7 linked regions of the Nothobranchius furzeri genome follow. The protein of the gene in region 6 interacts with the protein of the main gene of each other region in a biochemical or structural test. Links are inferred from orthologs where the notes say so. Each region holds a gene or a part of one and is shown on either strand. Other genes may lie near its edges.

Region 1 (4,489 bases), on a different chromosome or scaffold from region 6:
AATCAGATAAATAAAGACACCACAGCTAAATTATCTAAACTCCACTGGGACTGTGGTCCTCTCAGAAAGGCTCTGGTCCCCCTCGCTGGGCTCGTTTGGACCCACGTAGAACCAAGACCAGTATTTAGTATCGGTACAAGCAGCGAGGCACCGCAGTGCAAATGTTGGGCGAGGAACTTTGTAGCCTCGCGTTGACGCAGGCAGGAAGCAGTGTAACCCTAACCGCTGTTCACACACTTGCTGCAGCGTTGCTCCTAGTACTGGAGTGTTCCACTAGGGGGCACAGTAGAGAACTCAAGAGCGTTTATGGGGTTGGAGGAGGGAGATGAAAGAAAGTAAATCAATGTTTTATCAGTTTCATTTGACACGCTTTCCGGTATCCAGCACATGTAATCGTGTGCGAAAAAAGTGTATAAATAAAAACGACTGAAGTGTGTTAATAAGGACATAGCTGGTGAGCCGTGTTGATGCATGTTCACGCATGTGCCGTGAGCGGTTCTGGTACTTTTTGGGTCGCAGTGCCGCTTTAACAGTCCGATACCCTCACGAGGGACGAGTTAAATATGCAATATGCCAGAAATGTGTCTGAGTGTACGACTGCTGACCGGTAGGTACCTGGTCATGTGGTGTTAATCGCCTCTCGTAGCCTCCTGTATACTACACGATGCTCAGCACAAAACTCGCCCCGACCTTCTAGATTCTCGTACGAGGGGAAAACCGGCTCACAAAAGTGAAAAAGTCATACACTGTACGCCTAGCTTTAGCCAATCAGAGGAGAGATGCCTAAATATCAGGAAATAGGACTCCAAATCCTGCCATCAGAAGCTCAGCTCAGATGTGGCTCACTTCTAGTTCCTGAAACAGGCGCACTAGAGCTTTGTTTCCTCAAGAGTACAACTTACAAGGCATTCATTCCTACTAGAGACCACTGAAAATGTATTACGCGAGTGAAACTTTAAACTAAATCTTCACTTCTATCTTTGTATTCCATCATCATGCTAGCAACACACTGCATGTGCTGCAGAAAGGCGGAAGAGGAGGAGCACCTACGTCAGCATTTAACGCGTTTTTTACGTGCTTTGTCCATTTTCACCTTTTAATTTGATGATGTCAACATTTCCTGCTTTGATCCGCTCACAGGCTGTGGGACTCCAGATCAGAGCCGCTCATGTGTGGCTCATGATCCGATGTTGTCTCCTGATGAGGACTCGTAACCTCGGAGGTTGATGGTTCTGTGCCAGAGCTCCTGCTGGGTTCCAGACTGCTCAACTTGACAAAAACATTACAATCATACCTTTCCTTTACTCTCCTAAACCATGTGTCCGTTCATAACCCTAATCTGCATGATTGGCTATGATCCAGCCAATCAGAGTGGAGGCCCCTCCCATCACTCCCTCTGATTGGTTTAGACCATCATATAGTCTAACGCAGGGGTATTCGACTCCGCTCCTGGAGGTCTGGTATCCAGCACATTTTAGTGGTTTTTCTGATTCAATACACTTGAGTTACCTGTGCAGCAGCTCATCAGGCTCTGCGGGAGCCGGTTAATCACCTGCTGATTGAAATCAGGTTTTTTGAGTTAAAACTAAAATGTGCTGGACCTCCAGGCCCAGAACTGAATACCCCTGGTCTAACACGCGTCTCACTGGGAGACTTTCAGCATTAAGGCTCATTTCTAATTCTTCGTCAGCTCGAGTGTGGAGTTGCATACGCATCGACGGAGATGTTTTTCAATCTGTTCTGTGTTCGCCACTAAATATCTTCAGCTCTCATTATTTTTTGAGGGGGCGATGGGGGTGCTGTTGACTAATTTAAAGGAAGCAGCGTCCTGACCAATCACAAGCTTGAAATCTCTGACAATTTCAACAGATAGCTGAAAAGTTGGTCACGGCTCCAGCCTCTGCGAGCCTGTCGGAGAGCCCTCACGCTGATGCATCATGACGTTGAGTGTCTCTGAAGCCACGCAGACATACGAGTACAAGTCAGGCTTCTTTAGGACGAGTCACACCTGTGCAGCCTCAGGTTTTCTCAGGTCCATCTGTGACTAAACTGGTCACATGTTTAGGGGAGTACGACTGAACCATCATTTACGATCATCATCAGTACAGTTCACACATCTGAACCATCACTTCCGCCCGTTGCTATGTAACGTGATCATCTACCCAGAATGCATCGCGCACGACAGAATTGCTGGATAATGTAGTTCAAAACGTACTGTGCCATAAACACTGGTGATTCTTTCCTAATTAGTAACTGACTGTGTGTGTTTGTACCGAAGGTTCTGTTGTAGAAGGCAAACAAATCATAGTAAAGCGCGCGATGTTGATTAGTCACCGAGAAGTTTATAAACAGAGCGGAAGAAACCAATTAGAGCTCCTTCTGAGCTACATTCATGTGAACAAACGTCCATCCTGATGAGCTGAAGATCATCCAGACAGTCACATCTGCACCACCTAAACACGAACCCCATCAGCTGACACCTGCCTGCCCTCACCTGGTCACTTTACCTCGGTAAACATCCTCCAGTGCGCCGCTAACAGCACGCTTCGCTGCGGCTGCTACCCAGCTACAAGCAGGTTAGCCGCTAACAAGCGACCGTTTCCGTGCAACTCAGGTGTCAGATCATCACCATGTGCAGCAGGTTTTCTCTATAACTAGCAGGTTATCCCTCTAACCAGCTGCTAATGCCGTATAAACCCGCTGTCGGGCCGACCCGAACCTCAGCAGACCGCTAACCAGCAGGTTAGCGTTGTTTCGCTAGCAGCACGCTAGCCTGAGGCCTTCCTGACAGATGCCTGAAATCCGCACAAAAACAGCGCGTCTGACTAAATCTAATTATTAAAGAAACGCTTTGAGTTTGTTTTAATAAGCAACATGTAAAGCTACCCGTCTGGAGTTAGATTTACCTGAAATCTTTGTCACTGGAGGTCATTTTCTCCAGCAGGTTGGAGATGTGGTACGAGGCGCTCGCCATGTTGGTGCCGTTAGCCTCCTGTTAGCTGACTGAGCCCGGCTGGGCGTCTCAAATGCGGCTGGTTTTGGGTGAAAGGGTGTGTTTCTGCCTCTTCTGCTGCCGTAGCCGCCGTTATCTCCCTCTACAGCCGCTGTGGCATCCCGGGGCGCGGACTTTAGTTTGAATGGGGCTCCGGTTCTCTGCAGAGGGGCGGAGTGAGCGGGACTGGACGCTGCGGGGTTTGAGGTCACTGTTCCCTCATACCGGAGATCCACCCGGTAGAGCCAGCTTCGCCTTTGCGCACAAGTTTAAAAACACCCCAACCAGGATTACTAGTTACAGTTAACCTCATAAGTGAAAAAGAGACGGAAAAGCACCGACTTGAGAGGAATATTCTCCAGACCACCTGTCAGAAGGCGCCACAGATTACCGTAATCAGATTGTATTAATAAATTAATAAACCCGGATAATCCAGGCTCAGGCTGATTCTGTTGGGTCATTCACAAAAAAAATCACTATTACATTATTAAACACAAGGTGTACAGTCACGAATATGTACTTACTGAACATTTTTATGAGTAAAACATTCTAAATGCGTGTTAATCTGATTAAATAATTATGTGATTCATCTTTCCCCATCAGCCCTGGCATAGAGCTAAGTTTTTCTGTGCCTTTATTGAGTTTTTGTGGAATCCCTTCACTACTTTAAAGGAGCAATATGTAACAAATTTACAATGAAATCATCACAAAACAGTCTAATGTCTCATTCATGTTGGAAGGAAGGTTACATTTAAAACAGATTTTTTTCTCCTTCTTTTGTGTGTTCTTGCTGTGTTTAGTTTCAAATTCCATCTTTCAGTTCTTTTTACAACTGCTGCCCGCGGATAAACGAAGGAAATGACGCCACCATCGGTGCCAGCCTGATGATGTTTGCAGCCGCAAACGAAACGTTGGAGGTAAATAAACCTTTTCTGTGTTTTAAAAAGAACTGAAAGATGGAGGTTATTTTCTCAGCCGGCGGGGGTTATCGGTTTATCTCCTTTCAAACATCTAAAGAGGGATGTATTTGTAGTTTACTATACATGAGCCTGGAGTTGCTGGGTCTGCACCGAGCTAACGCTGCAAAAACTACTGACTTTTTGTAATAAACGTCACACACAGGTTTCTGAATAGCTGATCTGAAGCCTGGTGGCAGTTCCCACCACTGCCATCTTGGCTTTGACCCACGTCTTGCATGAAAATACAAAAATGGAGCTGAGAGTGCACTTCAAGGGAAGTAGTAGCTCAGGAGGTTGAGGACTGGTTGCAGGTTCTGTCCTGGACCCGGACAGAGGTCTCTGCTGTTGTGTCCTTGGGCAAGACATTTAAAGAGTAACTAAACCCCCCAAAAATAGTTTTGCTAATTAACTGTATAATTGTGTCTTTACAAATGCAATCTTTCTGTTTCTGTGCATTTTTTGACATGCTTGTGTAAACTTGACTAGATCTAGAATCTAGGTCTAAAAATGTCTTAGTGCTGCCCCCTGTGGCAGAACT
Region 2 (4,745 bases), on a different chromosome or scaffold from region 6:
CGGCTCGTCTCTGCGGTGAGACAATATTCTCCCATACTGAACGGGGCAGCATGGAGCTCTACAGCATGCATCCAACACTACACCATAGTAGAAGTAGAAATCACTGTTTACAACATGGCATTTCAGCATTTTTAACAGCGTCCTCGTCTTTTCCGACAGTGCGAGCTATTTCTCTCCAAGAATTATTAACAACATGTTGATCATGGTGATCTTTGAGAGCTGAATCATACAAATGTCTGTATTTACCAACCTCTGCCGTACTAGTTCTTGCCGGTCCGCCATGTTTTTCCGCGTCCGACCGTCCGCGTGGTTAGAAATTTTCCGAGGTGCGCGTTGCGGAAATTCTGGGCCGTGCGGAGGCGCGGTGGAGGGGCGTGGTTGTTAAAATGACGCAAAATGACGCAACTTTTCCGTGCGGACCTCGCGGACGCGTCAAGCATAAACCAACCTTAACAGGTGCCACGCCGCATTGAAGCAGTCATTTCTGCAAAAGGATTCCCGACCAAGTATTGAGTGCATAACTGAACATAATTATTTGAAGGTTGACTTTTTTGTATTAAAAACACTTTTCTTTTATTGGTCGGATGAAAAATGCTAATTTCTTTGAGATAGGAATTTTGGGTTTTCATGAGCTGTACGCCAAAATCATCAATATTAGAAACATTAAAAGGCTTGAACTACTTCAGTTGTGTGTAATGAATCTAATATATATATGAAAGTCTAATGTTTATCAGTACATCACAGAAAATAATGAACTTTATCACAATATGCTAATTTTTTGAGAAGGACCTATATATAATGAGCCAGAATTGTTACAGTCTCTTGTAACACACAGGGCTTGTCTTCAGCTCCTGCAGGGTGGGTGTTAAAGAGAGCAGAGTAAAAATCTGTGTTATGAGGGATATGAATGATGTACAGATCAATTTCATTCCATCCACCCACACAGCTTTGTAGGTGATGTCTCATCAGACTGTGTGCAGTCCGTGAATGTAGGTAGTTACTGTTTAAGCTAGTTGAACAAGCTAATTACTTGGGTCATATCCCTTGAAGCCATGTCAGCATTTTGTGTAATCCTTTGACTGATGTGATGATGGGAGCCAACAGAAAAGTGTTTCTACAGTTTACATTTAGGTTAGAGCTAAACCTGATGCCTCATGTCTTGTTGTTGCTGAGATTATTGTTGCAGCATGTGAAAATAATGAGGGAAGTGCTTTAGAAATATGTCGCTAATGAAGTCTGGGATCGTTTAAAACAAACCTGCTTTTTCATAAAGGGAGAGTTTCCAAAGCCCTGTTTGTTGCATGTTTTGATTGTTTAACTAACTTTTATCAGTAAAACTCTAAAAAATTGATACGTAACTTTGCACCCAGACACAACAAATCCTGTGATCATTTTTTTAAAATCAGAAAGACATTCCATTAACATTTTTCAGACTGAATGCTCAACAATGCTTCATATATTTTATATTCTCATAGATGTGGTTGTAATTCATGAGTAAAACCAGATCAATCACTTTTTGTTTTTACTTGCAAACATCAATTTGGTAGTTTGTTTAATCTGTAAATGCATCATTTTCTTTCCACTAACCTAATTACTAAAACAGACATGGTTACCACACACACACACACACACACACATGATGTGATGACTTCATGCATTATATCATAAAAGAGCAGCTGATGACAATTTCACTTACAGACACTCCGTCAGATGGCATTGTCTTTCAGTTCTGCTCCATCATTGTGACCTTGAGATCAGCAACGCTGCAAAGACACATTATATTGTCATCATAAGCAGAAAGCAATAGCTCTTCATTCCCAAATCTGCAGGGACTATTTTTGTCAATACAAAGAGAAAGTCAAAACTCTCCTCTTGCAAAATAATTATTGGACAGTTTTAAAATACCCTAAAATGACAGTTAGAAGTCATTGTGCAATATTTACACAGTGGGGTAATCTTTCTGTGTCTCCACTTGAAGGGTTTCTGTACAACTCTTTGCTTCCACAAAGAAAGAGTCTCACATGTTATAATGAAACATAATTCACAATGCTTAATGCAAAATACACAGCTTTGATTTTTAAACCCAAACTCAACTCTGTTCAGATCATTGATAAAGTCACTAGTCATACATTAATAAGAAGAGTCAGGCTTCAGGGGCAAATTGCCAGTACAGATCAATGTCCTGGACATGTAGAGGCACGTCTCCCACACTTCTAACTTGGCCAACTTCAAGTCTCTGACATCAGATGGATGTCTAAAGGCCCCCTTTTCCACAATAAACAGGCATCACCGTGTAACACATCCAGACGTCAATTTAACTGGATTAGCTGGTCTTAAAAACTGTCCGAGGCGAAGAGCAGCCCAGATATTAAATTGTAATATCTGCAGCTATGTTGTCACCGAGCACGAGCTGCTGGGTTTAAAAACACACATCTGATAACGATGATCTGAATAAGTTATGCTTGTTGGAGACAGACAAGCTCTTGATCAGGATCAAGGGAGCTTAACAGCACATGTACAGCACTTCCAAATGAAATGTAAACACTGATTCAGTTTCTGTTTAATAGTCCGCTTAAACTGCTTAAAGTAGTCGGGCAATACTCGCTAATCGGTTACTGATCAACGATCCATCCTCGTCACCGGGCCATTTAAACATCCACATCTAAAGTGCCTGGCCCTGACCACGTCGACATAGCTAAAAGTTAGCTAGCGGCTATGCTAAGTCTTCTCCGGCTGACACAACGAGATAAATATCCTCAAAAAGCTTACCTTTTTAGGAAAACGTAGGCCGCGTCATTTGAATGTACATCACTTCATAAATGTCACTGAAAACAAAGGTGGGCAAATAAGTTGGCCGAAATACCAGCAGTAACGAACTGAGGCAAACTCGTCGTCAGATTGTTAGCAAACTAGCAGGCAGCTGACCAAAAGAAAAAAAAAGAAAAAACTTCCATAATAAAGTCGCACTCTATTCTACCTTTAGGGAATGATAAAATGATTAGCAGTCAGAGTTTGTATCGGAATTCATTTTTGTTGGTTCGCAGTTTAAAACAAGTTAAAGAGCCACTCTCGGACTAAGGCTGCCTATTTCTTTGTGCTTCCCCCTTTTAGTCATTGAACTACATTATGGACATTTTCCTGCATCACTTCCTCTGTCTGTGCTAACAGCCAACAGCTGATCTCCATCTGAGCGGGGGTGTCACACCGAATTCTGTCACCATAATAGTTTGGGACTTGACCGGGGAAGTCGAAAAATGTTTTTGTTTTGTTTTCCAGAGTAAAACACTGGATATGGAAAAACAGGAAACAGTTTGTACAGATTTATTTATGCGCTCATTTGCATTTTTAAAATGTAAAGACATGTGGTACAAGTGTATAAAAAACACATCTGCAAGCAGTTTTTTTATTTAATTTTTTAATTGGAGGGTAATTTTATTTGCATTGAGTAGCTTGGTTTAGATTTCACACACCCACACCAGTGGCGGCTGCTGAAAATAATTCTTGGTGGGGCTATGTGAAATATTTCCCTTCTTAGTCCACAATTATTAAAATGCACAGTTGAAAAATGACTACAACTGCGAAACAATCATTAATTTCCCTCCTTTAAATAAGCAGTTTTACAGATTAGATAGATTTTCAAATTTACAGCTAAAAAGACTATAATATCAATAATACTCAAATAAATGCACACGCCAATCATGTGAGCCTTTAAAAGCAACCACAGTCAATAATTTCCATTTCTGTTTTTATTTCCATTTTCTTTTGACAAGCTTGAGTTTTCAGTCTCCTATGTCCTATTTATCTCTCACCTGCTCATACAAAGCATGCACACCTCAAAGCGCAGCACTCAGTGCCACCAGTAGGTTTAACAGGACATAGAAACTGAATTACATATCCTGCTTTAAAGGCACATTTGGCAGTTTTGCTTTCTTTAGCACCCCCTAGTATTCGTTTCGTAGAACCAAAAGCAAAACACATCTCTTTGCTGTGCATTTGTCTTTTTAACACTTGAATCTTAATTGCTGAAAATCTCCCCAGCCTTCCTTTGTGTCTACATGAGCGATTTATCACTAAATCAAACAAATCAGCTGTGTTCATGATCTAAAACACGAAGGAAACAGGCTGGAAGCAGGCTGCAGCACCAAGTATGTCAGCTCTATTTTTTCTAAGCCCAACAGAGTAGACCGGCTTTCAATTCAACTTTGTTTTTCACCTTGTTAGTCATTTTCATTCCCACTCCTATTGCGTAATATTGTTTTTGAACGATTAAAAGTGCAGAGGACAAGAACTTACATTGAAAAAAGTGTGGGGGACACCCCCCATCCCAAAAAACAAACAAACAAAATTATAATAACAAAAACTACGTCCATTGTGTGTCATCAATGGAAACCTTTTGCCTCATTCACTTGGTGGGTCAGTAAGCTTAGAGAGCCAATTGTAATTTGAGGATTGAACTGCCTGAATGTCTTTTTGTTTATCATTTTAATAATGTGACCAACTCTGTGCGGTGCATATGTATGTAGTGGAGGCATAGTTACATCATTGAACAGGACTGACCCACACAATGACAACAAAGGTCTTCTGATTAAGAGAGTTGTCATAATTATTTCATCCATCCATTTTCTGAGCGCGCTTGTCGACGCGGGGTCGCGGGATGGGGGTGGGGTGGGGGGGCTGGTGCCTATCTCCGGCGGTCAATGGGCAATCATGCGGAGTACACCCTGGACAGAGAGCCAGTCCATCAC
Region 3 (4,589 bases), on a different chromosome or scaffold from region 6:
CGACGTCAGATCCGGTAGTCGACGCTCCACGCCCACTTGTTGCATCCCCAGGAGTTTGTAAATAGAGGAGGAATCTCATTTTTGGTTCTTTTTTAAAACACAGGAAAGGGTTCTCTTTACCTTGCTAACGTTTCGTTTACAGTCGGCAAACAAAACGTTAGCAAGGTAAAAAGAAACCTTTCTTGTGTTTTAAAAAGAACCAAAAATGGAATTAGAAACTAGACACAGTAAGAACACACAAAAGAGGAGGAATCTGCCTGTTTTTCCTCTAGTTTGCCCTCTTCTCCGCCTTCACTAAAATCCCCGCCAAATACCCAAGACCCGGTCCGTCCGCTACAAGATTCCTTTCCTGTTTTGCCCGCCTTCGTCTCCCGGCAACGGACAACAACTTCCGGGGTCAGATGCGCTGCTCCGTCTCTAGCGCAGATGTAGAAAATCACCGGGAGCGTTTCTCCCTTCATAAAGGAGCTTCTTTCAGACATTAGGAGAGCTGTTTTGGTGGTAGCAGTCTCTCCTCCGTGCTGGTCTGTTTGCTGGGTGTTTTTGGTTTATTTAAACTCGGTAACTTGAACTTAACGTTGGTAAAGCTACTGTTAGCATTTTCGCTAGCAGCTTCTTGCGTTTGGATAAGCTGTTACGTTTTGGTTTAGAGTTCATCTTTTTTGTGGTGCAGATCTCCCTTTTATTACATTTAGAGTGTTGTGGGTTTTCGGTTTAGTTTAAAATATCACCTTGAGTTTGGCTTAACCGCCCAGTTTAGAGTTTGGACCTTTGGAGATCCTTATTTCGGTCCAGAACCCAGTAATCTTTGCCCAGTGGGACATCCCTAGTTATTTGTACTTTTATTTTAATTCCCCACAGGCAGAATTCGTTTTATTATTCCCAACCTGTGGATGGAAAGATTTATGTTTTTTGGAGTTGTAAATAAACCTGATCATCATTTTAACTTTTAAATCCTGTGTTATTGTCCCTTCCCTTTCTGCACACGAGCCAAACTCCCCAGGAAGGGTCGTAACACCACTCGCCTCACGCACATAAGTGACCAAAACAAAGCAGCATGGAGACACTCCGTCTTCAAACACCTCTCAGGCAGCAGCCTGCACTCCCAAGTTCTACACGTCACCAGAACAAAACCAACCGCAACACAATAAAAGCTGTGTTATACAAAATGGAATGCCTGCGTGTTTATTCTCTTACAGTAACAACTTATCAATTTTTTTGAGGAATTTATTTGAGATTTTCTGGTTTTTATTAATTGTGCAATGAAAAAAAGAATTGTTAGATTAATCGTCTAAATAGTGCTTAGAATAGTCGACTATTCAATAAAATAATCGTCAGAATAATCGTTTAAAAAATAATCGTTTACCCCCAACCCTCCTATCTGGTTGGTCAAACTGGAAAAGCTACGGTTCGGAAGCCTGATGAAAGGTAAAGGTGTTTTACATAGTAAATACAAACACGGTTGATCTCGGTTCCTTCAATGACAATTTAAAAACCGTGATAGAATCAGTCCTAATCTGTTGTTTTAGACTAAAAACACAAAGCTGGGGCGTCCTCCTGGGCCAGGACAAGTTTTTGACTAAATTAAGGTGATGTTATTGTTCACAGAATTAAAATTCATGTTGAAGTTAAGATTATTTCATAGGACCTGTGGTTAGCTAGCTCATGTTAAACATGTAATGTCTTGAAAGAATCGGAATCGGGAATCGATAGGAACCGGAATCGAAACGAGGAATTGGAATTAGAATCGGAATCATTCAAAATCAAACGATGCCCAACCCTACTCTACTCCTGGCTAGATTACATATAGACTGAAGCTGAAACCTGTACTCTGAGTATTGTGTGAAGAGATGAGTGTGTCAACACAAATTTCTGCTTCAAATCCAGCTTACAAGAAAGGCTAGAAAGAAACTAAAAGCCACAAATAACCAGCATGTTTCCACTAGTTTTTCTGTTCTGATCGCCCAGAAGGGAAATGGAGCTGTCTTTTTGTTTACTTTTGAGTCACTGGAAGGCCAGAGTGTCTGCCCAGAGGCAGAGAGGTCATTTCCATTTGAATAGAGGCCCCTCGGTGGCTAGTGGCGTTACATTAGCTACAGTAAAAACCATTGTTCCAGCTGGATCCCTCCCTGTGTGAGAGAAAAGGGACTCCGACAAGCCCTGCGAGGAGACCCGAGCACCAAAACGGAATAAACATCTCAGACGAGCTGATCCCTAAAGAGGAAACATGTTTAAACTTCCCAGGGTCGGGATAAGTTCAGCGAGTCTAACCGCAGCTGACACAGCAGCCACACAGCGATCGATAGCCCGTGGTAATCTGGGCTAGCGTGTCACAGATCCACCAATCAATCGATTTTAAAGAGGCTGCGGAGGAACAGTCGCCTTTATTACTGTAACCCAGTCGGTCGGGTTGGGTTGGTGGTCACTCAACAGGAAAATGGGTGTAGCTAACAAGCTGCAACGGTCAGCGGTAACTAAGATCTTCCCACAAGCTAGCGGGCTAACAGGCAAGTGCAGCACATAAAAGTTAGGCTGGACTATACCGACAATGTACAATAAAGAGCTGTAAATAAAATATTTAAGCTCCAGTTACAGCCTGCCGTGTGAGCGGAATTGTTGCTGGCTCGCTATTTTCTTACCTGTCAGTCGGATTTTGATGCTGGACCCGTTCCTCCGACTCCCAGGATTCGACATCACTCCCGGTAACAAGGCTCACACAAACTTCCCCCCGAAGTCGGCCGAAAACTCTCCTTCACCAACATAAAATGGCACCGCGGAAGATTTCAGAGGCCAACCATTCGCTTCGTTTTTGTTTCCCTCACGGAGAAGAACGTCTTATTTGGCCGCAAAGTCCTGCGCTCCTTCGAAATTCAACAACACGGGAGAACATTTTCGGGCAGGCTCGAGCACGTAGCTAGCTAGCTCACGTACGGCTACGTGCTCGAGCCCGAAAGAGGGTGCGCGTGCCCGTGAAGACGCGGTTGGATTTCTTTTTCTTTCTTGTAATTCGAAAATCTTAATGCTACATGATTCTCGAACACAATATTTGATATCTCACTACATCATTTCACCTGGCTGTCTTATAAAAACACCTTTGGCATCACTAGTGTTCATGTTCTGTAGGTTTATAACAAGTAATTCATCGACGAATTACTGATCCCTTCTAAGAACAAAATGTGGATGATTTTAAACGTCTGAAAGGCAACAAGTGGCCATAATCAAACTTCAGTTGGTTATTTGAATATTACTGTAAAGGCAGGAATTCAAGAAATCAATGTAAAACACACTAGTACTACTATCAGAGGTGTGACCAAGTCACTGCTTTGCAAGTCACAAGTCTTTCCAGTCAAGTCTCGAGTCATGTCCAAGTCAAAGACAACCAAGTCCAAGTTGAGTCCAAAGTCAATTATCTGGAGGTCGAAGTCAAGTCCAAGTCCTTAACTTTGAATTTTCAAGTCATAATCAAGTCATCTGTCCAACTTCAATTTAATGACAATGATAATAAATAAATTCCAGAAATAAAGCTTCTTAAAGCTTCGCTTATTTGCTCAAACAAGCAGAAAGTGCAACTGAAACTGATTATAAAGTGCTGCTGCATTTTGCAGTAAATCAAACCCAGAACCAAGAGTGATTTATGATTTTTGTCCGTGTCGTGCCACTTTGTGCTGAAATATAAAAAATGCTCAAGTCAACAGATGCAAGTCGATTCAAGTCACAAGTCATTGGCGTTCAAGTCAGAGTCAAGTCGTAAGACTTAATAGATTTTATCAAGTCAGAAGTCATTAAAATAATTACTTGAGTCTGACTCGAGTCCAAGTCATGTGATTCGAGTCCACACCTCTGACTGCTACTACTACTACTACTAACAATAAGTAATTTACACCAGGACTAAACTCAAAGACAATGTCCCAGAATGATTACATTTTGATTAACTTTCATAAAAAAGTCAACTTAGAGCACCATGCAGAACTAAACAGGTCACATTCATATCCAGATGTAAACCGTCTACTTTAATCCATTTATAATAACAATACAATATGATTCAGTCTCCTAGACAATTATTAAAGCCATTAAAAACTGTTGATTGCATCAGCCATTCCTTTCTATATGATGCCCCAGCTTGACCAAGCACATGGCAACAGTGGAGAGGAATGATGGTGTTAACGTGAAAAAACCTCCAGCAGAACCAAACCCAGCAGAAAGAGGGAGGAAATGTGGTCAGTGTGTCCTCCAGCAGCATAGCTAAAGGGATGAGCCAGAATTGTTCTGCTTCCTCATGCATCCTTTCACCAAGCCTCCCGTATGTCTGAGTGTTCTACATTCTCTGGTACCGGACCCGTTAGCCACTGCTGTTGACCATTGGGACGGCTTTCATGTGCCTCGTGAAGTCATTAGACTGCACAGGATCATTTCAAGTTGCAACATGGAAAAGCAGCAGAGCCAGAAGTCCAGAAGAATCCCAGAACTTGTGTCTCATTCATCACAAGGTGAGCTTTCAGGAACGCTCATCAGGTCCTTATTGTTTGCTGCACAGGAAGCTGAAACCATTTGTGAAATCCAGAAGGAAACCAGGGTGTCAGGATTATTGC
Region 4 (3,054 bases), on a different chromosome or scaffold from region 6:
GCAGAATCCAGCTGAGCTGTAAACCCAGCGCCCCCCACCCCCATCCACCCACCACAGAACCCCTCCTTTACCAGGAAGCACCCACTGTCACTGCTTTACCGTTTGTTTGATGTTTGCGTATTGGTTGTTGATTTGTTGTGGTCACAGTTGTCTTTTATTTTTCCTTTTCCATCCTCAGCTATGACATCTGTCTTTCTTTGTACCATTCCACAAATTCATCCAACAAAACTGGCCCTGAAAAAAGACAAGACAGAGAACCATCATTTCAAATGTGGACTCTGATGACCCACCTTATGTATAATGAAGTGTTCACTCACAGGCCCCATCCTCATCGTAGTTACTAAGATCCAGGTTGATTGTCCTGCTGAACTCTAAAACGTTGCACCACTGGTCTTTGTTGATGACTTTATACTTGGATTGCTGAGAAACCAAACAAGCACCACAGATTAAGGCAACAGCTACTGTGTGATTATCTTTTGCTGCATGCTCACCTCTAAAAACTGATTGAAGACAGGAAACAGAGGCCACGTCTTCCCCAGAAGAAGTCCCAGCATGCACTTGGCTGTGTTCAAGTCCAAACTCCTCTGATCTTTTTCCTGTCCAGTCACAACTCACAAGACTTAATAAAAAACAACCACTTTAAACAAACCTTGCTTTATTAATAAAAGTAGATCAGCCACATGCACTAAACTAGACGGATTTCAGAGCCCATCGTTTATAAAATGAATTTCTGTAAGCCAAAACTGGGGTTTTATACCATATTTTACATTTTTATTTCATCTATGAAAGCTGCATGTCTAATATAGGAAAAAAACTGAAGGTAGATTTGATTAGCTAAAAATATCAAATTTGATCCTGAGCTACATTTCTGCTTAGTTTAGGCTATAAGTTAAACTGTGTGCATGCGGCTCAATGGTTGAAAGAGTTTTTTCAGCGTACCCGAGCAAAATCAAAGGCGTATCTGTAAATGAGCTTAAAACTGGTGCCGTCGTTCAGCACAGATCTCAGGTAGTCGAGGGAGTTCCTCAGCCTCTCGGTGGAATCGCACCTGACAACAGCAGAAAATTACCCCAGACACACTTCAACGCCAAATCCACAGAGAATCACAACCGCAGAGGAAGTAGAAACTTTTTCTCAAAGAGAGCAAATGTAAGAGACAGTAAGTAGCTGACATACTGAAGGGAACCCATGCCTCGTAGCCACTCCTGAAGAGTAAAATATCCCATACTCTGGGCATCCAGTTTCCAAGCAAGCACCAGCATCACCACCTGGGCATAAATAGAAGATGTTACAGCAGGTATGTCCTACCAGGTTCCTGTCAGGCCTCACTGACTACGTTTACATGCAGCCAATATCCGGGTTATGATCGGGTTAAGGTCGGTATTCGGGTTTCTGAGTTGATCAGAATAACCCGTTTACAAGCATAAATAGAAAGAGTTGCCCCTAACTTGCATAACCCGATGTAAATGCGGACGTTGGGGTAGCGTCAGGACGTATGGACTACGTCCAGACGCAATATGCGTCATTTCCGGTTCTTCTTGTTCCGGTATCTGTGAAAACAACAACATGTTTCCCAGTTCGGAAGAGATAGCGACCGCGTTTGTTTGCGCTTTAGTGCTGGTATCGACCCACCAGCAGCTTTTACGACTGTGCGTACTGGCCTTCATTCGAAGGAGAGTACGTGAGCAACTTGTTTACTTCCGGTGTTCTGGCGCGTACACGACGTCTCGCTACTCAAAAGACCAAGATTTCTTGCGAACAGAGCATGCGCAGAACACACGCTTTGATGGGGATATCCCGGTATGCGTTTACACGACCAAACATTCGGGTTAGAAAAGGGTTACCCCAGGTGTAGTAACCGGGTTTTTGGCGGTGTTTACATGGACCTGCGGAACCGGGTTATTGTGAATATTCGGGTTTCAAAAGGGTTACTGGCTGCATGTAAACGCGCTCTGTGACCGCTGAATTAAAGACTGCAGCAGTGTCTTTTAAAGGTCCAAAGGAATCAACATTTATTTTTGCACAAATATAAACCGAAACAGACTTCCAGGCAAGGTCAAAGCAGACTGCTGCCATATTAAATAGAATCTGATATGCAGGATTTCATTGGTTTGTTCATGCATTATTTCATAAGGACATTTTTAATATTTCTGCCATAATAATCATGTAATGCAAAATTAACAGCTGTCATTTTAGGAGCATGAAGCTGGTGTCAGTGAGCTGCTGGAGGCACCAGCGAGTTTAAGAAGAAGAAGAAAATATCATTTCTATAGCGCCTCTCAAGATAAAAATCACGAGGCGCTTCACAAAAACAAAAAAAAGTAAAAATATTTAAAAAAGCATTTAGAAAATGTTTAAAAATATATTTAAAATGGGCAAAAATAGGCAATTGGGATTTAAAAGAAAAAATGTTAAGAAAGAGAGAGAGTGAAGAGGAAAGAGGGAAATCAGTGGATCCTGAGGAAGGTGGAATAGGTGGGGAGAGCAGAATAAAGAGAGAGAGGTGAAGAAGGTCATACAAAAGCCAGCTTGAACAAGTGAGTCTTCAGCTGCTTTTTAAAGGAGACCACTGAGTCCACTGATCTCAGGCTCAGGGGGAGAGAGGTCCAGAGTCTGGGGGCCACAGCAGCAGATGATCTGTCACCTTTGACCTTTAGCCTGGTGCTGCACAACCAGTAGGCTTTGGTCACTGGACCTCAGGGACCTGCTGGGGGTGTAGGGACTGAGAAGATCACCAATGTAAGATGGTGCTTGTCCATGTAAGGCCCTATAGACCAGAACCAGGATCTTGAAATGAACCCTGAAGTTGACTTAAGGGGACTTAAACCCCATAAGCAGGTTCAGGAAGGCCTCTACTACAGGTAAGATTGTAATTATTCATCAGAGATGAGAACTGTGGTATCAACAAGTCATCTCCATGCCGTGTTTTAGTTCTGCTCAGCAACTGAACTAGGTTCATTTACTGTGCTGATTGAAATCCCCTGGTTTAGTTGCTGAGTTGAAGAAAAACATAGCATGGAGATGACTTGTTGATGCCTCAATTCCCCATCTCTG
Region 5 (4,560 bases), on a different chromosome or scaffold from region 6:
TATAAGACCCTAGTTGCTCCAGCAAAGATTAATGGAGTTGTTTAGCTGAAAAGAAGGTGCCCAATTTTTTTTCGCAAAACAGGCGGCGAGGATTTTCTGTTACACAAAAACCTGTATCCAGTTACACTAGCCTGGTTTGATATATTTAGATAAAAACAGCTTAATAAAGCTTTTTTTTTGTATTTTATAATAAGAGACACTGTATCAAAATATATATTTACCATTTTCAGCGCCCAAAAGCCCATTCTGAGGATTTGAGACCTGGAAGCAAAAACAGGTTATTATTTTCCAGCTTGAACAAACCAAATTTACTAATGATTCAGGGCATCACAGTCATTTTCCGAGACCTAAAGAGAAGTACATTTGGTTCCTTATGTTCCATAAAGTTCACTAAAACACACCAAATACAAGTAAAATGATTTAAAACACAATTCCAGCTGATTCAAACCTTTTCATTGTTTATTTTTTATAAATAAAGGGACTTGGGAATCAGATTGACAGGTAAAGTTACAAGCTATGGTTTGTCATATAATCACAATAGCAAGAAAAAAAGAAGGAGATTGCTTACAGCTCTACTTTGTTTGGGTCCATTTAGTTGGATGCTGTTGACAAATTCTACTCCTTTTTCTGCCAACAAGAAGCTGCATCTAATGGGGAAGAAAGTTACAGCAGCATAAATAAAAATGTCTCCATAATGAATTTTTATTGCCAAGAAAAGACAGATGTTTCCTCTAACCCTGGGTAGTATTTGGCGTGTTGTTCCCAGGGGTCTTCCCCAGGCTGCCAACCTTTCAAACTCCCACCACAACTGAAACACATCACCCTATCTCCCATTCCTGTAAGCACAAATCAGATGTGTCAAAACAAAATCAGAACAACGATATAACAGTGACTCATTTTTGTATGAGTTTTGTCCACAGATGACGATGGCGCTGTACCTAAGCTGTAGAAGCCCGCCGTGGCGAGACTCTTGTGGTCAACAGGGAGCTGGAGACCAGCAAAGCTGCCAAGTCTCCCCTCAAAACTCTCCATGGAGACCTGAGAACTGCTCTCCTGAAGCGGCACATTCCCCACATCATGCCCAAGTATGAAGAAGCAGTTTGGATAATGTTTGGAATGTTCACTCCAAGCATTGTCTTCTGGTTCCCAGTCACTCAGCTCGCCACCACAACAGAAACACCGCACTCGGTCAGCATTCATCAAATAAAAGAAACCAGCTTGTGCCAGGTCTCTGGGTCTCATAAGAGAATCAACGGGCCACGAGGAAAAGGTCTGAAGGCGGGCTTCCTCAGACGCCATCTGAGGGGCTTTAGGGTACATGGTGTCGTCAGTCACGGCTCCAGTTAACAAACGATACTCCATGTGTTCTGCAGCCTCGTTGTAGCCATTAGTGAGCGGGTTATGAAAGCTCGGGTTGAAACTGGTTCGGTGGCAGCATTTGAGAAACAAGCACGTTGGAGAAACCTGTACCAGGAAGAGAGATCATTATTTAAACCTCTAAAGCAGAACAAAAAGTCACAATCGTTCAACACTTTGAATCCATGATCTACCTCCTTGTGCCGCTCCACAGGCGTGTCATCGCTGGTCCAGTTCTCCACAGTCTTCTTGCAGCTGAAACAGCGGACGCGGTCTGCGTTGCCGGTGAAGTAGAAGCCTGCTCGTGCCAGTCGTTCAGCTGGAACTTGCTCAGCCAGGATGGAGCGGCGGAAGGAGTTCAGGCGATTGTTGAGCAATGAAAAATCCATAGCACCATCTGATTCCAGATGCTCATTTTCTTCATTATCACACATAATTGAACTAGGACCTTCCTGGATAGATACAGCTACTGAATGTATGAAGTCTGAGGAGAAAGACAAGCAGATTTGAAGGTTAGTCAAAAGTCCTAAATGTACTTGAATTAAAACAACAGGGAGCTGGTTTGAGCATCCAGGCTAAGCCTTTGGGAGAGGCAGCCAGGCTATAATCACATGCTGGTGCTGGATACTCTGTGTGAGGCATGGGAACAGGAAAGGCGGTGCAAAGGGCGTAACCTGATACAATCTACACTAAAGCAGCATTCCTAAATAGATTATACACAACAGTGACAAACACTGATAAAGTATTTGCTGTAATAAGGAGTCACAGTACATGCTGTACACGGGCTAATGACCCAAGATCAAAGCACGCCAGCTAAGAAAGCAGGATGGGGGGAATAGTTTTGCCACCTCTACACTGGCACATGGAAAATGTGTTCTCACAACCCAAATACTCAGAAAGCCCACTACATGGTGGAGGCTTAGTCCTAAAACTGTAACATCTAGTATGATTTTATCTGAGATGCTTTATTGATGAGGATCAGCTTTTGATCTTTGCACTGTTGTTGGCAATCTTTATAAAAAAAAAAAGTAGTCACCATGATCACGAGTGTGTCACAACTTAATGTGTGTTTAACCGTATGACAAACATGCACAATTTACGATACTGCACCATGGTGCCTCCTGGCATAATATAAAGCCACTTCTTTAAATGGCAAATATCTAAAACGAAATACAAATCTGCAGCCTTCTTTTTTAATTACAAATGCATCAATATTGATTTTAAAACTACAAATCCTTCCAAATAAATAAAATATATTTATTATAAATGAAGTTTGGTTTAACTCTGATCTATTCCAGTTCAAATGTCAGAACTGTAGAATCCTGGTAGCCCTTAATGTGGCTCAGTACACATGAAGTAGCTCTCTATGCTGGTGACCCTTGCTTAAACGTGGATGCTCGAGTTACCAAAAGCTAAAAACTAGCCTATATTATTCAAGGACACGCATTTCAATAAGCCTGCATTCTAAAAATAAACACATCAGCTGCTTTGATGTAGGTGCGTAATGTCGAGATAGTGACTTTGGGTTTTGACAGTTTGCTAAAGTGTCAGTTAGCTAGCTTCGTTAGCTTGTTTGCTAATTTGCGCAGTTGCCTAAATCGACCGTAGCCGGAAAACTACGGTATTTACCTTCACGCGCCCCTTTTGGTTCCGGTCTTCAGCTTGTAACTTTAGTCTGTCTTTAGTGTGAACTTGACCTGGAGCAGAATAGGATGATTAAAGAGCTCAGTTTGTTTTATAAAAACTATGAGGAAGCGAAAGCAAAGGGAGGAATCTGGGAACCTAGAACATTTGGCCCCGCCTCTTCAGTCACATGATCAAAGTACGCCCACGTGGGTGTTTCACAGAAACATGCCGTCTACTATCAACTGCCAACATACTTTAGGGTTGCCTAAATATGGTCAGTAACCAGCAAAAAGCGTTCATTTAAAATTTTAATGTAATCCCATCATGCACCTCAAACAATGTCTGAAGGTCATAATCTTATACCTACAATATTAGTGACCATTTTTAATCAGGATTGTTAGGACAGTGGCGGTCATCTCTTGTTTTGAGGGCCTCCATGTTTATCTGAGGTTTATCTGCTCTCTCACCTGATTGTATCAGCAAGTAATTGAAAGGTTACAGAGCTGCTGAAGAGGTGATTCAACCGATGGACCTGGTGTTGGAGCAGAGAAACTCAAGGCACAGGGTAGGGACTGATAATACAACCTGCATCTGTCACCAACAGAAATAAATGCCAGTGAAAGCTAATGGGATACATAAAATAACTATACTCTTTAACAGTCATATATCAACCTGAGATAATTTTCCATATTGGTGATTATGCATGTCAACTTTTTGATTCAAACTAAAAGTTGCCGTAGTAGTCAAATAAAACACGAGCATTGGTCTGCCCCATGCATTTCCAGTAAATCGTTAGGGATTTTTTTAGGGGGTGGGGGTTCACAGGTATTCTTATAATTTAGAATGGAGAAGATACATTTTCTATCTCTGTTATGTTATGATCATCTTCACAGATACATATTTTCTAAGAAAACATAAACAGCATAGTTTGAATGTGCCTCATCAAGTTTAGCTTAGCTGTAACTTTACTCAGAAACTACCTGTGGTATAACAATAACTTCATAAACGATCACTTGGTATTCTAAAACCCACTCCAGTCAGGTTTTTGTTGAATCATCATTATTATGATGTTAGGTATGATCAGTCCACTTTTTCCGACAGGTGTGAACCAGCTGATTTTAGAGTTGGTTTGCATACGGCTGCTTTGAAAAGGGGTAATCTGTGTGAAAATGGCATGTTTTGTCTTTAGGTTTGGACCTTACAGGTCAGAGTTGTGTGGAAAGAACATTTTTCATTGTCAGGCATGCCAACATCTAATGCTTAAATTCAGAACGCCTGTTGCTCAAAAACTAGCCCAAAGACAATAAATCATGCTTGATTGGAAAGGGTTACTCAAGTTCTGCACTTATGCCTTTTTCATTTGAGTTCTAAATTGGATTATAATAATATAATAATATAATAGGATTGTTTAGAAGATTATTTTCCTTATTGTTTATGCTTGTTAGTGGTTTTAAAGAGGTTCTTAAAACATAGATAATGTTAACATTGGTGGTGCTGAAACTTAAACCATGTGTGCTTAACTCTCTGATGGGTATTTTAGGGGGCCAAAGACTGGCAGGCTTGGGAGAAACACCACAG
Region 6 (3,971 bases):
GTTTGAACTCTGGTGACCAATCCATGTGTGAAAATGATGTCTCCTAGCCTGGCAAGCCAGACTAAATAAATGTATTATTTAGTCTGGCCACGCTCCATTGACGGGTCTCGGTTGTGGGGCGGGTTCTACCGTTGTCTACTGGACAATGAGTGTGACATACTCTTGTTTCATTCTGTTGCATCATCCCACCCACCAGGCATATAGAGTGCCCTGATTGGCCCACAAAGCGGATATAGCTCTGTGATTTGTTCACTAAGCAGATAGAGCACTATGATTGGCCCACCATTATGAACCAATCACAGCTCTTTATGTGTTTGAAACCCCTCTAGAGAGCTGTGATTGGCCAGCCAGAGTCCTGGTAGGAGCTGTGGAGGTTCCAATGGAGCATGCCTAGACCAAACTTTGCAAAGCAAGAATTTGGTCTAGTTCACTAGGCTAGATGTCTCATGCTCCCTGAACCACTCTTTCACTATCTGAGCCTGAATGAATCCTGGCATTGTCATCTTGGAATATGCCCGAAGAAAACGTCCATCGATGGAATAACCTGGTCATTCAGTATATTCAGGTAGTCAGCTGACCACATTCTTAGAGTACATCCTGTTGCTGAACCTAGACCTGACCAACCGCAGCAACCCCATATCATAGCACTTCCCCCACAGGCTTGTACAGTAGACACTAGGCACGATGGGTGCATCACTTCATCTGCCTCTCTTCTTACCCTGATGCACCCTCACTCTGGAACATGGTCCATCTGGACTCATCAGACCAGTTTTTAATAAAGCGTTGGACAGTTCTTTACCCATTGTAGTCGTTTCGACAATTTCAGATGTTTTCTCTGCTTGATGCCAATGATCTGACCCTTCTCAAACAGACTAACATCTTTTCCACGACCACCAGAGGTGTCTTTCCACATGGTTGTTGAAGAAATGAGAAGCAACTCAGTGCACCAGTTGGGGTTAAATAACTTGTTGCTGGAGGCCTGTGCCTCTTTGCTTACTTAAATCCAGGTGGCCACCTTTTTGGGGCTAGGTAGTGTATATTCATTTTTTATAACTGATATAGATTTTTTAACTTACATTTGTGTGTTCCAGGTAGGACAGGGTTATCCCCATGACCCCCCTAAGGTAAAGTGTGAGACGATGGTGTATCATCCCAACATCGACCTGGAGGGAAACGTCTGCTTAAATATCTTAAGGTCTGTCTCTGTGTGTCGTCTGAGGTTAAGGTTTATTTAAGGCCCGGTGGATCATGTGAACCAACGGGAGCTTGATTTACATACATTTGGTTTAACAACATCAATGGTTATAACAGAAATCTCCTGATTGGCTCAACTTGTAGCAGCATCAGAGAGCCTTTGAAACAGAAAATGATACAGACCGTGGCAGAGGGGTTAGGTGCTGGCCCCGTAACCCGAGGGTTGCAGATACAAGGTCTGCTCTGTCACAGTCGTGTCTTTGGGCAAGACACTTAACCTTCCTTGCCTGATGCTGGTGGTCAGAGGGACCAGTGGTGCCTGTGCTCAGCAGCCTCGCTTCTGTCAGTGTGGTCCAGGGAAGCTGTGGCCAATGTTTAGCTCTGTACTACCAGCGTGGGAGTGTGTGTGTGCATGGGTGAATGACTGGTTGTGTTGTAAAGCATCTTGGGGGGTTGTAGAACCCTAGAAGGTGCTATATCAAATACAGACCAATTACCATGAAAGATTTCAGTGTTTTTTCTGTCATAGAAGCCTTAAATCTAAGTGGATTTTAAAGACGAGGACTTAATTAAACACAAAGTTGACGAGGATTTTGTTTGTTTGTGTCTCTGGTTGTCATCCACAGAGAGGACTGGAAGCCCGTGTTGACAATAAACTCCATCATCTATGGTCTACAGTATCTATTTCTAGTGAGTTAAACTCTGATTCTTTCACTGTTTGTTTAAAGTCAGAGTCTCTGTGAGGGAATGACTTCTAGCATCAAAATTAAAATATAATTCACTGTCAGTAAAAATAATGAGAATGCAAAAGAACAAGTAGAGGCTGGGAAATTTAAAAGCTGGTTCCGCATTCTCGTCAGAATCCCAGTTTTGGTCCAGAACTCTTGATCCAATCCCCACCTATCTGTTTTCCTTCCCAGCAGCCAGTCTTTCTTGCTATTTGTGGTTCTGTGATTCTTTTGTCTTTTAAAGGGGCCAGATCCTTGAAAATCCACTTTTTGGAGCTTGTTACCATGTGATATTGGCATTTCCTCATGAGAAATACTCCCCAAACCCTTTTTGGTTGCATTCATGCCTTTTCCTGCCTCAGCTTCAACTTTGTCCATGTAAAGATTTGTCCTGCGTCCAGGAGAAAGTAGCCCACTTGTGTCATCAGGCATCTCTCCTCCCCCTGAATCTGGTCTGGTCTTGACACAGTTGCAGCTCCCCGCTCCCCACAGGGATGGGTCAGATGCAGAGATGTAGTTTCACCAGTGTGTGATGATGACTTTAACTTTAAAATGCTGAAGCCTAAGATGCTGACATACAGAAGGTGCGTTTTGTCAGAGCGGATGGAGTTTTACTGAAATTGATTGTTTTATTTCCCCGTATAAATTCAGGCTGATGAAAAAAAATTCATATTTAAGATCAATTACATGTCAATAGTGCCAACGGTAATATTTAATCATAAACTGTGCCTACCTTTGCTCTCAAAGGCACAAGTGTCAAACTCGGGCCCTCGGGTCAAATCTGGCTTGTGGTCTATTTAAATTTGGTGCATTTACCACAAAGACTACAAATCCCAGAATGCTTTGTGACGTTAGCGACGTCAGTCGAAGCACCCCCTCCTTTTCTGTTTATAGTCATTAGCGTCCGTGCTACCAGCGTCGACATCTGCAGCCGTACCTCCTCAGTGATGGAGAAACTGAAGATCCTCCTCTTACTAGCCCAAAAATGGAGGCTCTGACTGCTCAGTAATGTTTGCGGGTGACGTGGAAAGCACACCAACCAACCTCCAGATGGAGCTAAGCGAACTCCAGTGTAGTGACAAGCTCAAGTCAAAGTATAACTGTGGCTGCTGAATAATTATACCAGGATTTTTGAGGTGAATAGTGAGTTATTATTATGATGATGATCACTATTATTATCTGTAAATATCTTCCCTTTTTTTGTTTGTTTTTATTGCCTTCTTGTGTTCTTGTATAACTTGAGTTGAACATTCATCAGTATAGCTTGTGTGTAAATTAATAACCTATAATTAGAAAAATGTTTGACCTCCTTTGCCCAGATATTATTACTTCTATGTTCCACCTAAGAAAACGCCTCTTCAGTGATTTAGTTTCTTTGTTTTATAATTTTGTAAACGTTGCATTTCAGCTTTGATGTTTTGTAGGGATGTACCGAAATGAAAATCCTTGGCCGAAACCGAAAACCAAAGCATTAGAAGGACTGTAAAATTAACAAGTCGCTGTGATGGATAGGAGTAGTCTCGGATCACGTGGTGTCTATCGATTGTTATTTACCTGTTGCGCACCTGCGTGGGAAGGCTGTTATAATGAGCTGGGGTCTCATTTATCAAACATGGCGTAGAATCCTTACTAAAACCGTACTTAAGCTCAGCAAAACAAATGTACTTACGCCAAGCAGGTGTGTGACCTATCAAACATGGAGGACGCACAGCTGCACTCAATCTCCGCTTCATAAATCAGAGACTAACGGGAATGTTTCTCAGCTGCTTTTTAGTCACATCCCGCCCTCACCACGCCCACTTACTGCCATAAATAGTCAATGCAAAGTGCCTTGTGGACCTCATGCATACACATAAGCCGGCTGTTGCAGCGCTCCGCCAATGACATGGCGACCGTAGATCAAGGCAGATCAAGGAAGCTCTATTTCACAGAAGCAGAAGTTGAGGTACCTGTGGGTGAGGTGGAGAAATGAAAGCAGGGATGGACATTAACTTCAAAACCAACCGGCCAGCCGGGCCGGTAACTCTGAATATTTACCGGCCCCACCAA
Region 7 (4,585 bases), on a different chromosome or scaffold from region 6:
TGGAGAGATGTAACAAATCAGGAAACTCAAGCATGAAAAATGCTCCTACATCCAGAATCTTTTGAGTAGGTTAATTAATTAGGAATCAAAACACAGAGCTATCATTACCCAGTGTGTCTCTACAGTTCTCCAAGGACTCTGTCTGAAATTGTATAAAGTAGGGTCAAAGCTCCTATATGTTCCATTATACTTGTGGTGAAATTTCCTGAAAGGTCCCAAAATGTATCTAAAAGTTAAACTGTGATTTTAGAAAAATGGTTAAAGGTATCAAGATGCTGATACAGTAATAGCAGAATGTTTTGTGACAACTTCAAACTTAAATTGAGTTTCTAGGTGGAAGTATGCCAAAGTAGCTAAATATCAAATAGAGTGATACATATTTTAAAAGAGGTGAAGGATTTTGCATGTATTATAAAAGCTGAAAAATTCCATAAAATACTCTATATCTCATAAAGTGTACAAAGTAAGGAAAACTCAGGAATGCTAAGTATTCAAACAATTATAATTTGCCCTTGGGTACAAATATTCAGCTTTCACAAGTTCAGGTAAAACTCAAACAGATAGCCAGATTAACCTTACAGCAGTTGCCCTTTAAATCTCTGTGCTAATCTGACACTCACATAAGTCTTAAATGGCCAAGAGCAAACATGCAGGGATTCCTCCCACGTGGAGAAAATAATAAATAAAGACTAAATATTGCATAAAGAGTCTGAAGAAAGTTAAACTCACCATCCTCTTTTCCATAGCCCCAGTTGCATCCTGTCATGTTTTATTTTGTGGTAAAAACGGATCAAACGATGCGTCCTGTTAAGAGCACCTTAGGCACCTGCCGGGCACAAGATCAGCTGGTGCCGCGATCGAATAAAGTTTGTTAAGGGGGGCGGAATTATCCTCAGAGGACACGCCCCTTTACATTCTCACGCAAGTTTTTCTGCTTTAATTAGAAAATGATCATAATTAAATGAAGAAACACCCCACACGAAAATAAATTTGGTCTTCTGCTAAAAAAATTTAATCAAAGGTTTATGTGTTAGTATAACTTTGTTTTTTGGGGTGAGTGAATTACTGATAAATAAATGTGTGTGTTAGTTGATGTACTCATTTTAGCATGTTACATTTTATTTGAACCCCCCTTCTGCATTGTTAAAAAATATTTCTCTTTAAAGTAGCTTATTTCGTTCAAAGTTTTTGCGCAGTTTTTTAAGGGTCATTCCAAGACGCACTCGGGCTACTTTTTTACTTGACTTCATGCCGCTTTGGGTTGTTTGTTTTCTGCAAAGGATTCTTTTAAACTTTAAAATCCCAAAAATAATAAGAAAATACATTTTTGTTATGTTAGAAGTAGTAGTAGTAGTAGTAGAGTTATGTTTTTTAATTAAACATAATTTTATCACATGGCATTGCATCCCTTTAATATTTTTATCGAAAGTGCGCATAGGGATCTTCGCGCGCCCACATTCGTGTCGAATCTGTCTTTGCGGAAGTTAAAAATACGTCAACAACGTCACTCATTGAAAAGCTACCATGGCAGCCACCAAAGACTCCAAAGAACAAAAATACGACAGGCAGCTCAGGTAGGTTGTATTAACATCACAGGCTTCTCTAATAAATGACATGCTTTCAGCCAAACAGAGGGGATATTTATTATGAATGGGTACAGCCGAGTGCTAGCTAGAGTGCTAACGATACTTAGCTTTAGCTTTCTTTGTGATGTTTCGGGTAAACATCGTTTGCTTTTAGGTGATAGATTTTATTACTTTGAGTTAATGTTTAGATTTGACTTTCCACAAAAGATGTTTGCCTAATAGCTGCTATTTAGTCGCATCCTTCTGACGGTGATTTACCAAAATATCAGGGAATCTCGATGCTGTTTCAGATGCAGTCTGTGTTATTGTTTGTCTCCTCAGACTGTGGGGGGACCATGGACAAGAAGCTCTGGAAAATGCACATGTATGTCTCATCAACGCCACAGCAACTGGAACAGAGATCCTGAAGAACCTGGTCCTGCCAGGTAATCAGATGATGGATCAAAAAAAAGTTCTGGTGTTGATGGAAACATCTGTCTGATTTGGAAAACTGCTCTGTTTGACAGGGATCGGAGCGTTTACTATTGTTGATGGACACATAGTGTCTGGGGAAGATGCAGGAAACAAGTAAGAATTCATTTTATCATCTAATCCATGGCTAAAATAAGCTATTCCACATGTAGCTGACTGCTCAATCTTGTGTTTACAGCTTTTTCCTTAGCAGTGATAGCATTGGAAAGGTAACCAACCCTGAATCTGTTTATGCTGATTCAAAATGTGGTTATGTGGAATAATCAAGAGTGAGATTGTTGTTATTTGAGTTCTTATTTTAGTTTTGTTGTTGCAGAATAGAGCCCAGGCTGCCACTGAACTACTGCAAGAGCTAAACAGTGACGTGTCTGGAAACTTTGTAGAGGAGGTTTGTGCTGTTAGATTCCTACTGAAGTTTATTTCTATGTGTGCATATACTACAGGGTTGATGATGCAAGATTGCTGTGTTAATATTACAATATGTTTATTGTTATCAGCACTCTGATCATGAAAAGTATTGTATTTCCTGTCTCCTTCAGAGTCCAGACAAACTTCTGGACAATGATCCAGAATTTTTCCACAGATTCACAATAGTCATTGGTGTCCAGTTGCCAGAAAGGTGCAAGAAATCACTTCATTCAGCTGAAATATTTCAGTTTACTTTAAAGTCCACAAAAAAAGCATTTGACTTTTCTCTACCATTGAACAGCACCTGTTTGAGACTCGGCATGGTACTATGGAGTGCATCTGTACCGTTTCTAATCTGCAAAGCATATGGCCTCATAGGCTACATGAGACTGATGGTGCAGGAGCACACAGGTGTGTTATTCAAACTAGCAATGTATACTCATGTTACTCATAACGCAATATTGTTTTGCCTTTATTAACACACGTCTGTCCATGTGATCAGTATTATAGTTTAGGGTGTTTTTGCATATTTTCATTTTATTGCTACTCTTTAGTGATTGAATCTCACCCGGACAATGCCTTGGAGGATCTAAGATTAGATCGGCCTTTTGATGAATTTAAGAGCCACATAAAGTCCTACAACCTTTCCATCATGGACAAAAAGGTCTGCTGCACTTCAAGTTGCAATTTCAAGGATTTTTAGTGTTGCATCTGCAGAAAACTAATGATTTTCTTTGATTAATGTGTCCTGTAGGACCACAGTCACACACCATGGGTTATCATTGTTGCTAAATACCTAGAGAGATGGCTCAGTGAGGTAAGGGGGAACACTTCTGCTCAGTTATTCATTTATGAGTGTTATATCAGCTCATTACGTGAATTCTTGCAGCACGATGGCCAGCCACCCAAAAATTACAAGGAAAAGGAGGCCTTCAGGCAGATAATTCGGGAAGGTATCTCTGATCAGCTGCAATGTAATTGCATATAAATACAAAGAGTTTAAAATGTAGTTTGTCAGGGATTAAAACTTTCTGTTTTGGGTAGGAATCCTGAAGAATGAGAATGGAGGCCTAGAGGATGAGGAAAACTTTGAGGAAGCCATCAAGAATGTCAACACTGCTTTAAATCCAACCAAGGTGTCGGATTTTAAACGAGTCACAGTTTCAGGAGAAGTCTTGTCTTAACTTAACTTTGTTTCTGCAGGTTCCCACTTCGGTCGAAGACCTCTTCAATAGCGAACAGTGTAACAATATCACAGCGCAGGTGTTTTGTTTTTTTCACAGTCACTTTAAAGTTTGTAAACTACTAATGAGGTTTTAATCCGTTGCTTCTTCCTGTCTGGATTGGTTCAGTCTTCATCTTTCTGGGTGATGCTGCGAGCTGTGAAGGAGTTTGTGTACAACGAAGGCAGCGGAAGCCTTCCCGTTCGTGGATCCATTCCAGACATGATCGCAGATTCTCAAAAGTTCATCAACCTTCAGAACGTGTGAGTGAGGAGTTTCATTAATTATCTCGTTTCTGGGAAACCGGCATCAGTGATGAATCTGATTCTGCCTCTTCGTGTTGGGATAGCCTGTTTTATTTGTGTGTTTTATTTTTCAGTTACAGAGAAAAGGCCATGCAGGATGCAGCAGCTGTTTCTAAACACGTAGAATCTCTACTTCAGTCCGTTGGAAAGGTAGGAAGTGTAGATCCGTGCATCTCGGTGTGCCCTGATTTCTGGAATAATACATATAAAAGTGATTGTACATGCATTTGTGTGAAGTGCTTGTGTAGATCCAAGCGTTTCATTCAAAGAGAAAAATCATCTCCTCAATAAACAGATTTTATCACAGTTCATTTCAGGGATGCTCAATATATCGGCAATGATATCGGTATCGGCCGATGTTAGTCATTTTATAACATATCGGTATCGGTGCGATAAATAAAACTGGGCCGAGATCAACAGCCGATATTTTTTCTATATTGTTTCCATCTGTTTCAGAGGGTGAGGGGGATGATGTGTATTTGTTTAGTCATGTGACAGTGATTGTAATCATCTCACAAGTGTAAATGTGTTGTTTGCATACATAATAATGTAAATTCTGCTTTAATAACTTTCATTCTATACAAAATCTGCT

What was found.
Region 1: the proteins of ube2m (region 6) and cand1 form a complex in vitro, tested with the Homo sapiens proteins (2 studies listed by BioGRID). The link is inferred for Nothobranchius furzeri from reciprocal best matches to the Homo sapiens genes UBE2M and CAND1.
Region 2: the proteins of ube2m (region 6) and dcun1d3 form a complex in vitro, tested with the Homo sapiens proteins (4 studies listed by BioGRID and IntAct). The link is inferred for Nothobranchius furzeri from reciprocal best matches to the Homo sapiens genes UBE2M and DCUN1D3.
Region 3: the proteins of ube2m (region 6) and smurf1 form a complex in vitro, tested with the Homo sapiens proteins (2 studies listed by BioGRID). The link is inferred for Nothobranchius furzeri from reciprocal best matches to the Homo sapiens genes UBE2M and SMURF1.
Region 4: the proteins of ube2m (region 6) and dcun1d4 form a complex in vitro, tested with the Homo sapiens proteins (3 studies listed by BioGRID). The link is inferred for Nothobranchius furzeri from reciprocal best matches to the Homo sapiens genes UBE2M and DCUN1D4.
Region 5: the proteins of ube2m (region 6) and xiap form a complex in vitro, tested with the Homo sapiens proteins (2 studies listed by BioGRID). The link is inferred for Nothobranchius furzeri from reciprocal best matches to the Homo sapiens genes UBE2M and XIAP.
Region 7: of the proteins of ube2m (region 6) and nae1, one has a biochemical effect on the other in vitro, tested with the Homo sapiens proteins (4 studies listed by BioGRID, with this or other methods). The link is inferred for Nothobranchius furzeri from reciprocal best matches to the Homo sapiens genes UBE2M and NAE1.

What each region holds. Positions count from the first base shown.
Region 1 is NC_091741.1:34,342,461-34,346,949, reverse strand, and holds the start of cand1 (cullin-associated NEDD8-dissociated protein 1), read right to left. Parts: upstream 3,195-4,489; 5' UTR 2,975-3,194; coding exon 2,907-2,974; intron 1-2,906. UniProt on the Homo sapiens protein: Key assembly factor of SCF (SKP1-CUL1-F-box protein) E3 ubiquitin ligase complexes that promotes the exchange of the substrate-recognition F-box subunit in SCF complexes, thereby playing a key role in the cellular repertoire of SCF complexes.
Region 2 is NC_091756.1:31,621,059-31,625,803, reverse strand, and holds the start of dcun1d3 (DCN1-like protein 3), read right to left. Parts: upstream 3,155-4,745; 5' UTR 2,770-3,154; intron 1,764-2,769; 5' UTR 1,697-1,763; intron 1-1,696. UniProt on the Homo sapiens protein: Contributes to the neddylation of all cullins by transferring NEDD8 from N-terminally acetylated NEDD8-conjugating E2s enzyme to different cullin C-terminal domain-RBX complexes and may play a role in the cell cycle progression by regulating the SCF ubiquitin E3 ligase complex, after UV damage.
Region 3 is NC_091752.1:65,321,437-65,326,025, reverse strand, and holds the start of smurf1 (E3 ubiquitin-protein ligase SMURF1), read right to left. Parts: upstream 2,890-4,589; 5' UTR 2,695-2,889; coding exon 2,640-2,694; intron 1-2,639. UniProt on the Homo sapiens protein: E3 ubiquitin-protein ligase that acts as a negative regulator of BMP signaling pathway. Mediates ubiquitination and degradation of SMAD1 and SMAD5, 2 receptor-regulated SMADs specific for the BMP pathway.
Region 4 is NC_091748.1:39,458,634-39,461,687, reverse strand, and holds part of dcun1d4 (DCN1-like protein 4), read right to left. Parts: intron 1,269-3,054; coding exon 1,177-1,268; intron 1,049-1,176; coding exon 940-1,048; intron 597-939; coding exon 492-596; intron 421-491; coding exon 318-420; intron 235-317; coding exon 179-234; 3' UTR 1-178. UniProt on the Homo sapiens protein: Contributes to the neddylation of all cullins by transferring NEDD8 from N-terminally acetylated NEDD8-conjugating E2s enzyme to different cullin C-terminal domain-RBX complexes which are necessary for the activation of cullin-RING E3 ubiquitin ligases (CRLs).
Region 5 is NC_091741.1:25,549,191-25,553,750, reverse strand, and holds the start of xiap (E3 ubiquitin-protein ligase XIAP), read right to left. Parts: upstream 3,145-4,560; 5' UTR 2,986-3,144; intron 1,841-2,985; 5' UTR 1,791-1,840; coding exon 1,551-1,790; intron 1,465-1,550; coding exon 939-1,464; intron 837-938; coding exon 737-836; intron 648-736; coding exon 569-647; intron 262-568; coding exon 222-261; intron 1-221.
Region 6 is NC_091745.1:29,845,840-29,849,810, forward strand, and holds part of ube2m (NEDD8-conjugating enzyme Ubc12), read left to right. Parts: intron 1-1,091; coding exon 1,092-1,195; intron 1,196-1,820; coding exon 1,821-1,884; intron 1,885-3,971.
Region 7 is NC_091749.1:35,484,119-35,488,703, reverse strand, and holds the start of nae1 (NEDD8-activating enzyme E1 regulatory subunit), read left to right. Parts: upstream 1-1,452; 5' UTR 1,453-1,524; coding exon 1,525-1,574; intron 1,575-1,907; coding exon 1,908-2,011; intron 2,012-2,092; coding exon 2,093-2,153; intron 2,154-2,235; coding exon 2,236-2,266; intron 2,267-2,373; coding exon 2,374-2,445; intron 2,446-2,596; coding exon 2,597-2,676; intron 2,677-2,766; coding exon 2,767-2,876; intron 2,877-3,019; coding exon 3,020-3,129; intron 3,130-3,219; coding exon 3,220-3,282; intron 3,283-3,354; coding exon 3,355-3,418; intron 3,419-3,509; coding exon 3,510-3,601; intron 3,602-3,668; coding exon 3,669-3,728; intron 3,729-3,817; coding exon 3,818-3,951; intron 3,952-4,067; coding exon 4,068-4,143; intron 4,144-4,585. Other genes in the region: ca7 (carbonic anhydrase 7), read right to left, coding at 730-766. UniProt on the Homo sapiens protein: Regulatory subunit of the dimeric UBA3-NAE1 E1 enzyme. E1 activates NEDD8 by first adenylating its C-terminal glycine residue with ATP, thereafter linking this residue to the side chain of the catalytic cysteine, yielding a NEDD8-UBA3 thioester and free AMP.